2 linked regions of the Alligator mississippiensis genome follow. The protein of the gene in region 2 interacts with the protein of the main gene of each other region in a pairwise test. Links are inferred from orthologs where the notes say so. Each region holds a gene or a part of one and is shown on either strand. Other genes may lie near its edges. The genes, in order: FNDC3B and TOX4.

The links.
Region 1: the proteins of TOX4 (region 2) and FNDC3B interact in binary tests that used the Homo sapiens proteins (3 or more experiments, as listed by UniProt). The two-hybrid records come from large-scale screens. The link is inferred for Alligator mississippiensis from reciprocal best matches to the Homo sapiens genes TOX4 and FNDC3B.

The regions. Positions count from the first base shown.
Region 1 is NC_081830.1:75,858,409-75,866,222, reverse strand, and holds the start of FNDC3B (fibronectin type III domain-containing protein 3B), read right to left. Parts: upstream 3,136-7,814; 5' UTR 2,991-3,135; intron 2,756-2,990; exon of another isoform or gene 2,658-2,755; intron 1-2,657. UniProt on the Homo sapiens protein: May be a positive regulator of adipogenesis.
Region 2 is NC_081830.1:3,887,934-3,896,113, reverse strand, and holds the start of TOX4 (TOX high mobility group box family member 4), read right to left. Parts: upstream 3,197-8,180; 5' UTR 3,120-3,196; coding exon 3,114-3,119; intron 2,984-3,113; coding exon 2,915-2,983; intron 2,834-2,914; coding exon 2,591-2,833; intron 2,483-2,590; coding exon 2,144-2,482; intron 1,800-2,143; coding exon 1,563-1,799; intron 1,459-1,562; coding exon 1,378-1,458; intron 1,260-1,377; coding exon 537-1,259; intron 377-536; coding exon 213-376; intron 1-212. Other genes in the region: RAB2B (ras-related protein Rab-2B), read left to right, coding at 3,483-3,528, 3,613-3,684, 3,807-3,874, 4,017-4,099, 4,207-4,299, 4,573-4,684, 4,897-4,965, 5,190-5,294. UniProt on the Homo sapiens protein: Transcription factor that modulates cell fate reprogramming from the somatic state to the pluripotent and neuronal fate. In liver, controls the expression of hormone-regulated gluconeogenic genes such as G6PC1 and PCK1.

The sequences.
Region 1 (7,814 bases), about 72 Mb from region 2:
AACCTTGGCCGTAAACAACCCTACTTTTGATATCCTTCTTTAAAAGGATTCCCCACAGTAGTGCCTTGGTAGTGTAGGGAAGACCAATTATAATCAAGTTAACTGCTGGTTTTAAAAAAACCTTTCGGTTCTATGGTATTTTATGCCTCAGAAATGCAACTTTTAGGTGTTCTGACGTCCTCTACTACATTAGCTGCAGATTTAAATTCCTTTTATTTAAAAAAGAAAAAAGACTTAAATCACGTGCAAAGTGTGCCACCAAACAATTATGACCTTCTGGCATGCAGTCTCCCAATGCAATGCCCCAATTCTGAAGGATCCTCAGCATTGGAAATAATTCCCCCTGCTCATCCAAATAAGCCTGAATTTGGTGGTCCTTATACTGCTGTCACAGATCAATAACTATTCAACAGCTTCTGCCTGGGTAGGAGGAGTAGGTAACTGTACTGAGAAACAGTTGGGAAAGTCCTTTGATGCATTCAGTATACATGACCCCAAATTTTTGTAATTATGAATAATTTATAAAGAGACCTTTATACAACAAATGTGTGTTTACATACAGGATTAGGACCTAGGTTTCTGGAAAGAAAGCCAATTTAACTGAACAGTCCTAAATGAAACTAGACACGCAGACCAAAAATAACCAACCAAAAAAAAAAACAAAACATTTTTTGGTCTGCATATGAATTCCATGAATTTAGAAAGGGGAGAGAGAGAGGAAAGACTTATACAACTTACAAAACCCCATTCCTTTCTTTAGAGATTTTCATTAAGCCTATGAAGGGAATGGATTAATGTAAATTACATATTATTATGAAAAAAGAATGTGCACAAAGTTCCTGCGTGCAGTCTAATTGAAAAACGCTAGGAAACTACTATTTCCTAAGTCTTCTTTTAAAAAAAGGAACCAGAGTACAGTCATTTCATACTGAAAACTTCATAACAGTTTCCCTAAGAATAAATATGCATAAGAGATGCAATGAGGCTGTAACCTCACGCTTCTTGGATACAACAGACTAGCAGTCTGTTTCGGAAGCTGACATTCTTCATTTATCTTCAGGCTAGGGATGGGGTAGGATAATAGTGTGAAAATCTCTCCATTGTCCCAGCAATGACCTCAGACCAAACCAGATGAGTCCAGACACTTCAAAAATGGAAAATGAGTCGGCTTCCATGCACACTCACCCCTGGGCTACACTAGGAATGTAAGCCAACCAAAGTGTAATGAATGATAGATAGCACTTAAGGGGAAGCAGAACCCTTTGTCACTACTGTAAGGTCCCCAGTATAATCACCAAAACCTAGTCACTTGAAAATTTATGAGGGAGAACCACAAGGCACTGTAGACTTGAAGGACGCTGACAGGCTGCTCCAGTAAGACCACAAATAACCCTGGGAATTTTGCCAAGACCCATCTTCCTCTTGGGGCAACACCAGCAGCAAACTTCCTCACAAATTCCCATCTTACAGCCTAGGGACAGTAAGGAGGGAGCAGGCGAGGGGCAGCGAATGCTTCCAAGACTACAAGTAAGAGTCACTCCATCTTATCTACTGCTAAGAGATACGGGAAACGACAGCAGGAACAGCGTTCGTCTTCCCAGGAAGGTTTCCAGTTAGCATTCATACGTACTGCTCATGTCTAGACTAAGACAAATAGGGCATGTTTAAAAATCTGGTAGTGAACATGTTGTGAGGCTCACGTTAGACAAGCTTAACACTTTTTAAACATGTATTGGTGAGTCCTGGTCAGGATGTGCTCCACCACAGGGCAAACAAGTGATGAGGTTCAGTGGAAAATCTGAACTCCATTGCCAACTCTGTCACCGAGTCTCTGTGTCAACTAGGGAAAAGTTACTTGATAAGTTTTTATGCCTCAGTTTCCCCATAAAAAAAAAGAGAGATGGACCTACTCTTCCCCTGTCTTCATGCAATTTCTGACCCTCACGGAAAAGATACTAATGCACAGCACAGAACTGTGCCTGTGTGGAAAATTAAGGGGGAAAAAATCCTCATATGTGGATGGGATGAATTGTTCCTTCCTTTAAATCCCAAACCACATAAACGTGAGCCAAAACCTTATTTTGGGAGAAGAAGGCAGGAGGATGTTCAGCTGAGCATGAAAGAGAAGAGGATTTAAAACAAAGAAGTTATATACCTCCTCATCTATATATCTACCTAGACGCACACAAGGAAAAAAAAAAAAAAGACACACAGGCGACCGGTCTCCGTGATCCCATCCGCCCCACACGATGCCACTTCCATCGATTCACAGATGTTCGGATGGGAAAGGACCTCAGCCGGTCACCGAGTGCAGCCCCTGCCCCCAGCAGCAAAGAGCGCCAGCCGCCCTCCGCTAGAAACACCCTGCAAGCGCGGCATGCATCTCCCCCGCCACACACCTTGAAAAAAAAAGGTGGCACGTTACCGGGAAATGGGATGCGGCAGAGAGAAAGTCATCTAGCTTTCAAATCCCTTCTTTAAAAAAGTTGGACCTCTCTCACGCGTGATACGAGACAGACCTCGATTCGCACCGAGGCCTCCCAACAAACGAAGCGTGAATTTTTACAAATAAAATATCGAGAAAGTTACATCTACAGAAACCCTCCATCCCAGGCTTCCCGTCGCACCGCTTAAAGCCCCTGAAGAAACCCGCGCACCTCTCCCCGCTCCCGCCCTCGCCCTCCACACGCGCGGAGGGGACGAGGACCCGCTTGCCGGCCGTGCCACGACGGTGGGTGCGCGGGAGGGAGAGAGGGAGGGAGGCCGCGCCGGGCCCGTGTCCGTGTCCGTGTGGGCGCCGAGCCCGCGCTGCCCCGGGGCGGAGCGGGGCGGGGCGGGGCCGGGCCGGGCCGGCGGGGAGCGTGAGGCGGCGGAGCCTGGCGGGCTGGCCGGGCTCTGCTGGAGGCGCTCCCGGCCCGGCCCGGCTCCGCCGCCGCCTCAGGGAGCCGCGCACGGAAACTTTCCCGCCCGGGTGCAGCCGCGGCGCTTACCTGGGCGCGGCCGGGGCGGCGGGCGGTGTTGGTGCTGATGTTGGTGGCGGCGGCGAGCTCTAGCCGGAGGCGCTGCCGGGCGGCCGTGCCGGGGACTCCGCCATGTCAGTGATGTCGGGACCACATGGGGCGGGGGCGGCCGCACTACCGCTACCACGACCGCTACGGCGACGGCTACCGCTACCGCGCAGTCTGGAGTAGCCGCTCCCTGCAAACGCCGCCGGGGGCGGGGCCGCCGCCTCCTCCCCCTCCTCCCGGCCCCGCCCCGCCTCGCCCCGCCCCCTCCTGTGCCCGCCGCATCCCGCCGCGGCCTGGGGAGAGGGCCTAGCAGGGCAGATGTGCGACACCTCGTCTTGGAGTGACTACATGGTGGCCAAAAGCAAAGGGGAGGAAAGAGGCCGGCCTTGGGCAGGAGGCAGGGGCGAGGTGTAGGGCACGTGCGCCCCCTGAGCCACCCCCTGCAAAACGGCGCCACCTCGCTGCGGTCCACAGTGCCCACGGCAGGTGGTCGCCGACCCAAGGTGAGCGCTCGCCACCCTCTCCCTGCCGCTGCTGACCAGGAGCTCCCCCACTTATAACCGCCGCTGGAAGCACCCCCGTTCGTGGCAGGAGGGCACCGGCAAAGCAATCCCTGTAGGCTCAAACCTAGACTCCTGGCAGCCCTGGGCAAACTTTTAGTATCGCCCCCCCTGCCCTTTGCCAGAGATAATCCTACTAATAATAATTTTAAAATTGCCATTTTCAGCCCCTCCTCTGGGTGGCCACCTGGTTCGCCCGTAGGGTGGCCATTCATTGGGTTTTATAGAGGACAGTCCAGTTTTCTGGTTCTCTGTCCTCTACTGAAGGCCTTGATGTCCTCTATTTTTCAGTGCTCAGCACCCACTGCCAACACCGTCGTGGCCGTCGGCAGGAGCTCACCACCGCCATGCCCCTGCCGCTGACATGGCCGCCTACAGGAGCTTGCCAGGCCCTTCTTTGCTCTGAAGGGTACAGGTTCCCCTCACTTTATGCTGTACGTGTGGTCCTCGAAAACGGTGCGTAACTCGAATTCACATAAAGGGACCCCACTTTGCAATGTAACAAATAGGGGATACGTTCCAAGACCTTGACCGTACCGACGCCCAGTCCCATTTCTACCACTTTTATAAGACAATTTTGGTACTCACCAACAGCAGACAGTGCACACAAGCACAGGGTGGTGGTGAATGTTTAGTTGGTATGAAGAGAGGTGGTGAAGGGTCTCCAGTTTTGTCTCCAATGTTAGTGAAGATCTCCTGCACTTCATTGAGGGACCAGAGAGAGGGGTAGGAGATAAGCTAGCGGGACGCTTAGAAGCCACAGTGGGGATGGCAACTACAGAAACATGTCGCAGACAATGAGCAAGGAGCACAGATCCACACAGGAGACTATATTTTGGCACACATCACTCCCACAATGCACCACACAAAGCAGCTGACTGCCAGCTTCCACCACACTCCTCTCATAAGAGTGAATTTACCTCGCATATAACACATTTTTGGTATAAAATGGGTTATCTCATAGGAGTGAATTTGCACATACAGAACCCGCATAAAATCAAAATAGAACAAAGGGCTTCGAAACAGCCTTGAAACAAAAAGAGGCTAGTCAAAACGTTTCGAAACTTTCAAAACGTTTTGAGTTTCAAAGCAGCCAGGTGGTGGGAGACAGAGGAGAGCCAGGGCTGTGCTCCCAGCAGCTCCAGGCTCAGCCAGGCGGGGAGCGCAGCCCTGGCTCTCCCTGCCTCCTGCAGCGTGGCTGCAGGAAGCCAATCGCAGCACAGGGGAAGGGAAGGGAACTGAGCCTGATCACTCGGTTCTCCTCCCCAGAGGGAGGATTGGACTGGGGAAGGCAACACAGCCCAGCTGAGCTGAGTTCCCCTCCCCAGCAGGATGATGGAGCTAAAGGGGGGAACTCAGCTCAGCTGGGCTGAGTTCCTTTCCCCAGCCTGATGGTAGCACTCAGCTCAGCCCCAGTTCCCTTCCCTGATCGATCCCAGCGCCTGGGAGGGGAACTGAGCCCAATCGCTCAGTTCCCCTCCCAGCTCCCCGGTCCCAGGCAGCATCCCTCCCTCATCTGGCAGGCAGATGGGGGCCCGCAACCCTAGGAAGACTGGCACAGCCCCCACAGCCCTCCCGGGTTTGGGCCCCGATCTGCCTGCTGGATGAGGAAGGCTGTTTTGAGCTTCCCCATTATAGCCTATGGGTAAAGCATAAAAACAACGTCACTGTTTTGATGAAACTAAACGGAACAGCTGTTTCGAATCGAAACAAAATTTGAAATGAAATGCTGTTCCATCAAAACCTTGAAACGCAAGTCAAAATGGAACAGTGCCATTTTGCACACCCCTAGTACTTAAGGTTGTATCATTTTAAATCAGTGATGCGCAGTGTGTCAGAGTTTGGGAACCGCTGCCCTACTGTATAGGGCAGCACTGCCCTTCTTCCCAGGACCTGGACCTGTCGCTGTGCAGTACCTTTGCAGTGGGATGGAAGAAAAGTTTGTTTTCCTGTGCAGGTATTTGGCACAGACTCAAAGGGAACCACACTCAGTCCTTTACCTCTAAACAGTCAGTCAAGTAGCCAGGAAAGTTGTGTAGCAGAAGACAGGAATTTCTTCTAGGACTTTAGTCTAACAATTAGAAAACCTTGAAGCAAGACTAGGACCCATTTACACTACAATCTGCAACCAAGTTCGATGTAGTCTTCTTAGTTGCATTTGGAATATAATTGGGCCCTTGATTACTTAAAACACCAGCATTGCCATCTCTCCCATTCTTTTCTTACTTGCTTTATATTTTCTTCATTATAGCTTTCTCTAGAAGAAAGCTTTCTCACATTCTGCCAGCTGGCTAGAAAGGTGAGAGCAGATACTGGAGCAGTGGAAATGAAGGTGCTAGGGTGGGGATAGAGACTGAAGGGTGTGAGAGAGGAGTGGGAAGCAGGAGGAAAAGTAGAAGAAAAAGATTGATCAGGGTAGATCAAAAACTCTACATAGCTGGTGAGGCACTGAGGTTAGCTTCTCTAGTTCAACTCACTACTGGAGCCTGGAAAACCATGAAAGTGTGTGCATTTGCCTAATCAAACTAATTAATAATAGCAGCAGGGGCAACATAACCCTCTGACTCGTGATGTTTGATAAGCATTCACTGAGGATGACAGAAGGAGAGAAAAAATAATTCCCATAGGTTCTCCAAAGTTGACAAGTGACATAAAGCAACTGAAGGTGATCTAGAAATAAAAGGAAGGGTAAGACTAGTTTCCATTAGGCAATGGGAACAAGGAAGGAGGATGTGAAAAACCACTCTCTCACTATCTGGGGGAGGGAGACTCCCTGGTCCTTATGGAATATAAGGAACAGAAAAAAATATCATACTAGAATTGAAGGGGAACCCTTACAGCCCCTAGAGTCAGGATTGTAGGGAAAAACATCTCTATCTCCAGAAATGAAAGAATAATTTACTCCCATAAGATTTCTTCACTGCAGAAAATGGAAACCCTCCCTTCCATGATTTCCTTACCTCACCTCTACATTGTGGGAAGGATGAGAACATGATACACACCCAATTTACTCCCCTGAGCTCCAAAGGGGGAGAGGAGAGAAGGAATTCTCATGGACGGCCCATCCACTGTTTCCACTACCCAAGATTTTCTTTTCTTTATTTCAGTGCTCCTAATAAGACACCCAAAGTAATAAAAGGTTGGGTAAAAGGTGGCCTTTCTTGAACTTGAAAAAAAAGGTGAATGATTTTCTTTGGCTCCTGGAGAAAATAAAATAAAATAAAATAAAATAAGAACTATTTGCTAGCTACTCTTTCCTCAGCCTCTGGACTTGGAAAGAGGAATTCAACTTTGTAACTTCCTCACCAGGCCTGTGAGAGAGGAAGAAAGAGAGACATTCCTTGAACCCTTCTTGCTACGCTTTGGTTCACCTTTTTCTGACCTGTAAGGTAAGAAACTTTCCATGACAAGGCTATATTTCACCTTTAAATATTGTTTTGTTTGTCACACCACTGGAGGATTTACAGTTTTTAAAACTGATTCCTGGAATCTTATGCACTTAAACTAGAAGGTGGCAACACTTGTCAAGCGCTATTTTTCAGTAGAATCTAGTTTTTGCCTAATCAGCTCCTTTTTTTCAGTTTTCGCTGATCAGAAATAATACATATTTTTTAGTTATTCACCAAAAGAAAATATTTAATCTAAAAGAGACTTGTTCAAAATTGGCATTTTGTGTCAAACATGTTTTTCAACAGAAAATAAGCAGTTGCTAAAATAAGACATGAAATCTGAAATCAGGAAAAACGGTTTATATTTTGCTGCAGACCTAAAGCATGTAGACTTTCTAAGTCAGGTTGCTTTGAGTTATGTATTTGGGTCTTGCAGACTAATTCCTGGCCAAGAATAGATAGCTCATTATGGAAGGAGAATAGATCTGCCTGCCCGGGACAAAGATTCAGGATGTGACGGGGATGATCCAGGCCACGATTCAGCCCACTGATTACTACCCCGTGGTCCTAATCCATGTGAGCACTAATGATGCGGCCAGGAGAAGCCCTGATCACCTGATGATGGACTACCATGCTCTGGGGGGCATGCTGAAGGAGATAGGGGCACAGGTGGTATTTTTTTCTGTCCTACCAGTGAGCGGACTTGGAAGATGACACGAGACCTGCATCAGAGAGGTCAACTTGTGGCTTCGGGAATGGTGTCTCGAGGCATGCTTCGGCTTCCTAGACAACGACCCACATATCAGGACGAGAGACATGCTTGGGTGGGATGGGCTTTGTCATGACCCAATGATTGT
Region 2 (8,180 bases):
TAATGAAGTCATTACAGTGGCAAGGCCTGGTCCTCACTGCCCGAGGGCAGGTCAGGGTGTTTGATGCCCCATGGCTGGGGTTGTGCCCGAGGGCTGTATGCAGGTTGGAATGAGCTGGACACTGTGGCTGGGGAGGGTCCGAGCAAAGCTGAACCTAGCTGTAGCGAGGCACGCCCGGACTTCCCCGCAACCCCGTCTCCACCCCCGCTCACCGGCAGTGCTTGACGACGCACTCACTGCTGCAGTACTCGTTGTCCCAGTCGCTGCTGGCCACAGGTGGGTTCTCGCAGCCCGAGCGCACACAGCGTGGCCGCGGTGACTCGGCCATTGGGGACCCGGTCACCAGCTCCACAGCCATCTGCGTTGGGGACTCAACCTGCAGGTGGGAGGGGGATCAGGGAAAGGTTATGCCCAACTGTACCCTGTGTCTGCTCCAACTTCTGGACACAGACAAGGCCGTAAGCTCGCTGGTTCTCAGCCTCTGACAACAGACCAGGAGTCAGGACCCAGCTCCCCACACCCAGCCATGTACTCACCTCAGGCACCACATCAGCAGTAACCATCTCCATGGGCTCAGGGGAACCCTGGAGCTCAGGACTGGGCCGCTCAGGGCTGGCCTCCTCAGCCTGCAGGGTGACGGGCTGGATCTGCAGGGCAGGTGGGGGCAGGATCTTGATCTGCAGCGGTGGGGGCTGCTGCTGTAGGTTGAGCCGCACCTTCTGCTGCAGCGGGGGCTGCTGCATGGCCTGCAGGGGTGGTGGGGGCTGCAGCACGGCCACCTGCTGCGTGGGGGGCTGGGGTGGGGGCATCTGCTGAAGGGGTGGGGGCTGCAGTCTGGGCAGCTGCATGGAGGAGGCAGCCGCAGCTGCAGCAGCTGCCGCCTGCAGCACGGAGCGAGTGACGATCTGGGTGGTGCCGGTGCCAAGCTGCAGCCCACGGGAGGTCACCACAGTGGCGGGGATGACCGTGACCACGCCACCCTGGGACACAGCCAGTGAGGACGGCAGCATCTGCTTGGGAATTATGATCTTCGTGATGCTGGTCTGGGGAGCAGGCGTGGGGACAGCTGGGGCAGGCTGTGGAGTTGGCGAGGAGATGCCCCCAGAGACGGTGGCAGTTGGCGTGGCCGTAAGCGGGGTCTCCTGTGCAGGTGAGGGGGCCAGGGCAGCAGTCAAGGAAGCAGCGGGAGTAGACGTCTGCACGGACTGGGAGGCAGGAGAGGGTGGCGTTGGGCTGGGGTCCAGCTCTGTTTCCAGCGTCTGCACGGAGAGAGAATGGGGGATGAGAAAGACGTACAAACAGATACGCAAGACCCTGGCGCACCCGCGGACAAGAGAGCTGAGCCCCGGCCAGCTGGCAGAGGCCCAGCCCCCTTACCTGACACACCTGGATGGCTCGGTAGGCTGCCAATGCCTTCAGGTACTCCTTCTTGGCCGCCTCTGTCTTCCGCTTGTAAACCTTGGGGGAGGGAGGACTAGGTCAGCAGCAAGCCCCAGCCCTGCTCTCATTCCCCCCCACCAGCTTCTGTTCCCCCTGCCCCGTGCCCTCCCAGCCATGCCCACCTGCTTCTGCTCCTCGCCCAGGCTGTCCCACATGGACGCCACGATCTTGGAGACCTCCCCAAAAGTGGCGTTGGGGTTCTGCCCCTTAATGGCGGCCTGCGTGTCACGGAAGAAGAGCGCGTAGGCCGACACCGGCTTCTGCGGCTCGTTCGGGTCCTTCTTCTTCTTCTGCTTCTTAGCCGGCTTCGGCTTCCGCCCCGCGTCCAGCACCAGCGTCGCCTTCTGGGCCGGGGCCTGCTGTGGGGGCGAGAAGAGGGGGCACGGTCAAACTGCAGGCTGGAGACAGAGGTTTGCCCATCCGTGGCGGAGCTGTTCTCGGGTATCAGCAAGAGGTAGCCTGCGACTGGGACGACTAGAGGCCGCGAGGCACAGCTGGAAAGCGCAACAGGGCCGGGCAGGAGCATGTGGCCACTTCTTGCCAACAAACACGGAACCGCCGGCGGCCTCGGCCCCAGCTCCTGCTGACGGGGCAGCGACCGAACGCGGCAGGCGTGACCTCAGCGGGCTACGGACGCAAAGCAAGGGGAGGGGGGAAGAAGTGGGAATCAACTACCCGAGCAACGCAGGAGTCAGGCTCTCACCCGTCTGAACTCCTCAGCTTCCTCCTCCTGCAGCGAGCTGGTGGGGGAAGGCGTGGTGGACATCCGCTCCTCAGGTGACGCCGCCGTGGCGGGGGCCACAGCCGGGGCGGCGGCAGCGGCGGCGGCGGCGGCAGCGGCGGTGGCAGAAGGAGCGGCGGCCGGGGGCAGAATGGCGCTGCCCCCCAGGCTGAGGCCGAGCTGGGAGCTCAGCTCCGACTGGTCGATGGTGGTGAGCTGCCCGTGTCCCATGAGGCTGCCCGGGCTCATGGCGTTCATGGGCACGTCGATGGTGACGGGCGGGTTGGCGTTGTACTGCGCGCCCATGGAGTGCTCCAGGTCCTGGGGGCACACGGCGCAGGCTGGGGGGGGGCCGGCCGGCACCACCGCCAGCAGCACCGCTCCCTGCCCTGCGCGCCCGGCCCGGGCGGCCCCCCAGCACGCACTTACCATGGACAGCCCCCCGGGCAGCAGCCCGCCGCCCTGCTCCATGAGGCCGTGGCTCATGGCCACGGGCATGTCCAGGGCTTGCACGCCGTACTGGGCGGAGAAGCTGGCGTCAGGGGCGCCGCCGGGGTCGCCCAGGTCGTCGAAGTGCCCCACCACGTCCGCCACGGCCAGCGACGGGTCCGCGTCCAGCGCGATGGGCGGGATCTCGAACTCCTCGTCGCCCAGGCTCGGCGTGTGGAAGGTCTGCGGGGACGGGGACGGGACCGTGAGCCCGCGCCGGGCACCCCGCACCCGCCACCCTCCCCGCCCCGGCTCCCCCCTCACCTCGGCGCCCGTCAGGAAGGGGTGCGTGGCGCCCGTGATGGCCAGGTAGTTGTCGCTCCCGCCCGGGAACTGGGGAGGAAGCAGGGATACGTGACGGGCTTCACCGGGCGGGGCACGGACCCTCTCCCCCTCCCCACCCCCACACCTGTGCTCCCCTCCTCCACCCCCACCCCCACCCCCGTGCTCCCGGCCCCGGCACCTCCATGGCCGCGTCCCGACCGATCGCCAAGCACCGCCTCCCCCACCCCCTCCGAGTCCTAAGGAAGGAACCGGAAATCCCCCTTCGTGCGTCACTTCCGCCTCCCCTCCAAACTCGGGCTCGAACTCTAGGCCCTAAGGGGAAGCTGAATGTAGCCACCCCCCCAGAATCGCCCGTAGGAGGAGTAGAGAGGGAGGCCTCCAGGCGGCCAGCGCGGCCCCAGGAGGCGGGTAGAATGGCACCGGAAGTGTGGGCCGCGGAGCAGTAAAGGCGCCAGGAGGCTGCGGCTGGGCTAGAGCGTCTCCCCGGAAGTGAAGCTGAGTCGGGGGGTAGAGCGGCCCTGGGAGGACCGCATCGGACCGGGGCATCATGTCTTACACCTATCTCTTCAAGTACATTATCATCGGGGACACCGGTACGGGGCGGGGGCCCGGGGCCGGGAGCGGGCAGCGGCGGCTCCGACCCCGGGCCCAGCCCTGACTCCGCTCGCTGCCTGCAGGCGTCGGCAAGTCCTGCTTGCTGCTGCAGTTCACGGACAAGCGCTTCCAGCCCGTGCACGACCTCACCATCGGTGATGGGGGATAGGGGGGTTGTGGGGCTGTAGGCGGGTGGGGGAGGGGATGAAGTCAGGGTGCTGTGGGGGGACAGGAGGGGTGTCCAGGCCGGGGGTGCTGACGGAGCCTGGCCCTGCAGGTGTGGAGTTCGGGGCGCGGATGATCAACATTGACAACAAGCAAATCAAGCTGCAGATCTGGGACACAGTGAGCCGGGCTGCGGGGGTGGCCAGTGTTCGAGTCCGTGGGGTGTGGGGGGGAGCGGGGCCGCCCGGCGGGATTAAGCAGCGCTGGGTCAAGCCAGAGCCACGAACGAGATCCCTGACCCCTCTGCCCCTGCGCCCCGCAGGCCGGGCAGGAGTCCTTTCGCTCCATCACGCGCTCCTACTACCGGGGGGCGGCTGGGGCTCTGCTGGTCTACGACATCACCAGGTGAGGCCCGGCTCCTGGGGTGGGAAGGCTTCCCCCTGCACCTCCTTCCCTTCCTGGGGGAGCCCTGGTGCTGCCGCCGCCCCCTTCTCATGGCAGCCCCCACCCAGGCGCGAGACCTTCAACCACCTGACTTCATGGCTGGAGGATGCCCGGCAGCACTCCAGCTCCAACATGGTGATCATGCTCATCGGCAACAAGAGGTGACAGGCGGGGAGGGGTGGGGGGACCCCTGAGGCAGTGGGGGGCTAGGAGGGGCGGAGCCTACAGGGAGGCTGCTGGTTATAGGATGCAGGGGTTTGGGTATAAAAGGGAGAGGCCCGAAGGTGGTGGCCGTAAGAAGACCCTCTGGATGTCGCCCTGGATGCAGGCCTCACAGATGTGCGGTGGGACTTAAGCTGGCCTTTGGGTGGGTATGGGGTCCCAGATGGGTCCTGGCCATGATGCTTCCCCCTCCTCCCTGCATGCGTCTGCAGCGATTTGGAGTCACGGCGGGACGTGCGGAAGGAGGAGGGCGAGGCCTTTGCACGGGAGCACGGGCTGGTCTTCATGGAGACCTCTGCCAAGACAGCTACCAACGTTGAGGAGGTGACTGGGGTTGTGGGGAGGGGGGGTGAGGAGGTGCTCTTCCGCACCTCTCGCAAAGGAGCGGGTCTTGGCTGAGCCCAGGTGGGGATGTGGACCATCCAAATCCTAGAGCACCCCAAACCCTTGACAAATGGGGTCCCGGAAGGAGTGGGGCCACTAACCCTTAACTTCCCCCATCCACCTCCGCTTCACCCTGGGCTGCCTTCTTTCAGGCCTTTATTGACACGGCCAAAGAGATCTACAGGAAGATCCAGCAGGGGCTGTTTGACGTGAACAATGAGGTGAGTTAGGAATCCAGTCCGGAACACCTGGATCCCATTCTTCCTTCCATGGTGGGGCCTTGTGGGGGTGAGCAAGGTATGCTGCTGTCCTTAACACTTGGGTCCCTTTCCATAAGGGTTGGCTGATTTATCTGGGCCTGGCACCTACCTTGGGCAGCCTAGTTTTATTGATTGCTATGCCCCTATTAATGCTCTCTCCCACCCTCTTCCTTGTTCTCTTCCAGGCAAATGGCATCAAGATTGGTCCCCAGCAGCCTTCGGGAGTGGCTCCTGGTGCTGGCTCTCGCCATGGCCCCCAGGGCTCCGGGGACAGCTCAGGCTGCTGTTGAGCCTCTGGGGCCAGGACCAGCTCGCTCTAGCCCCTGGCAAGGGAGACAGCTCCTCGTGGCTGAGCCAAGGGGTGGGGGACTGTAGGGGGTGGCTGGGCTGGGTAATTTCCCCCCCTCCCCCATGTCTCAGCAACCCCCCCCATCTGGGCCCTGAAAAAAGGGGCAAGGACCAGGCACCCCTTAGCCTGTGCCTGGGGGAGACTTTGGGCTCTGCCTCAACCACACATTCCTCCTGGCTGGCTGTGGGTTGCCGACGGGACAGAGCCCAGGGCTAGGGCCTCCCCTTGTCAGTGCCTTCCACCCCCCCCCGGCTGTCTCTCTTACTGCCTGGGACCCAGTTGGGTCTGGCTGGGTCCCCTGTGTCCTGCAGGGTCCTGGCCAGGTGCCCGGCCCCTCCCTGCACCCATGTCAGCTTTTATACTGTACTTGCTCTCTGTGGTTTCTCCTGTTATTAAATGTCTGCATGTGTTCGGCTCTCCCCATGTGTTGCTCTCCATGGGGGTGGAGGGACTGGGGAAGCTGCTGCAGTGAGTGTCTGGGAGTAACCTGGGAATGTCTTGGCTCCCAGATCCCTCCCCAATCAGGTCTGCTAGGCCCCAGCCCCTTGCTGGAGCCCAGGATACAACCCAGGAGCCCTATTTCCTGTCCTGCTCCTAGAGAAGGAATGACTTTCTTATCAGCATCCCTTTCATGCTGGGTGGGTGCTTTTGTGGTCTCCAAGGGGAGTCCAGCTCCATGCTCCTAGTTGCTAAGTGATTTATGCCTCTTGGGCAGCTCCTAGCCCCTTTTGGAAGCAGCTGAAGCAGCACCAGGCCCATGGCTCTGCAGGCCCCCAAATGGGATTGTGTGACAGCACTGGTAGGGCTGCCCACGGCGCCCAGGCCCTGTGGACACTGAGGAATCCCAACCTCGGTGAACGTGGCTCATGGGTCACAGATAACCCCTCTGAGCTCCTTGTGATGCCCAAAGCTGCTGCCTGGCTCCTCTGAGGGGGCCAGCAAAGAGCTGTCCAGCTGGGAGGCTAAGAGTTGGGGTCACTGTTGCCTTTAACCCCCTTGAGGCAACTCATCCATGGGGGCCAGGGCTGGGAAGGGTTTCTGGGTTAGGCCAGTGCTTGGCTCATGGAGGGTGGCTTTGCTCACACAGTCCCCTCTGCTCCCTGTGGCTGTCCTTCCTTTGCTGCCCCTGTCAGATGGGGACCAGGACTGGGCCAGCCCCTTTCTCCTCCAATCCTTGAGAACCTGCCAGTCCCCAGGCAGATCCTTATTTGTGGCCAGTGGACTGGAACCTGCTGTCTTGGGTGTTCAGGTAAGTGCTGTTACCCCCTGGGTAGCTGTTCTTTGCTCGTACCTCCTCTTTGTTCCTCCTGCATTCAAGGTCACCAATCTCTGCACCTAGAACAGGCCCCTCCGTGGGCTCTGATCTGGGTTTGTGTCTAGGCTGAGTTCATCTTGGGTTTTGCCCAATGTGACTGTCTTATGAATAGACCTTGGCTGGTGAGTTGCTTGGGGGCAGAAAGGAGAGTAGCTATGCACTTCTGTTCAGTATCTGGCATGATGGAGCTGTAGCTGACAGCAGCCTTGGGTGTTACCTCAATGCAGGCATTGGCCATAGCAGCAAGGGTTTCAGCCCCAGCCATGGGCAGTTTAACCACCTAGAATTGAGTCTTGTCAAATGAACCTTGGTTCTCTGAACTAACATTTCCTTCTGAAAAACTTTGATGTGATTTGGGGGGATGGTGGGGGGGGGGAAGGTTTTCCCTTTTTTGAGGCTAAACAGCTGCTGTTTGTTTTTTAGTTTGGAAATAAACGTTAACATTCTCAGGTTTATTTATTCACTTGTAGACATACTTTTTCCTACGGCAAAGTTTTAGGAAGTTCAAAACCGTGATGTAGGAAGGACCTCTAATTTTGCTCATGTTTTTACATTCTGTTCCACAAAGGAGAGGTGTTGTGGGGAAGGGGGACGGGGGGAGAAGCAGTCTTAATAAATTTGACTCTTTATCCTTTTTTTTCTCTCCTCCCCCCACCCTCCCCCCCCATTTTCCTTTTACTTACCACTAAGAAAAATTAAGAGGAAATGTGTATGTGTATATGTAACACTCACAGCGCCCGCAGGGCTGACCTGACTTGACACCCCACCCCCCAAAAAATTAAAATCAAAACTTTTTTTAAACTACTTTGTTTAGGAAAAGCATTTGTTGCACTTTCTCTAATGCTTATTCAGAATTTTTTTCCAGGGGGAGTAATAACTTGGAAGTGTAGAATTGTGGCAAAAAAATACAAAAGTGTTACGCAGGAAAAATTAACACTTGCAGAGTTCGACTAAAGCTTTGTATCCAAAAGCCCGTGACTGTTTAGTTGGGGTTCGGGCTTTGTTCATGGGGTCCTGTTTCAGCAGTGAAATGGGATGTGGTTTTTCCTGGGACAGACTACCTCCGAGGGTCAGTGCAGTTCAGTGGACAGCCTTGCCAGTTCATTGAGTTTCTGGAGGGGGAAAAAAAAATAATTTTGGGGGGGGGGTTGTTTTTTTTTGTTTGTTTGTTTTTAGCACTTCTCCGATGCTCTTGTTTGAGATCCCTACACTTGGAAAAAGCTAAAGCATACAGGAGCTGAGCTCCTCGGACACTGCATCCAGGTCCACCCCTACCTCCAGGCACAATCATCCCTGTTTGGACCAGCCTGGCCCGCTGTCTATCTGACCTGTTCTTACAAACTCTCAAGGACTGAGGTTGTACCACCCAGCAGGGGTCCTGGTCCAGTGCTGAACTACCTTCCTGCTACTCGGTCCATCTTAACATCCAATACTGTTGTTTCTTGAAAGCAACGTTTCTACAGCACTGTTTTCATTTTGCTGCCAGGCTCTGCTTTTCTGTCCCTGGTGCTT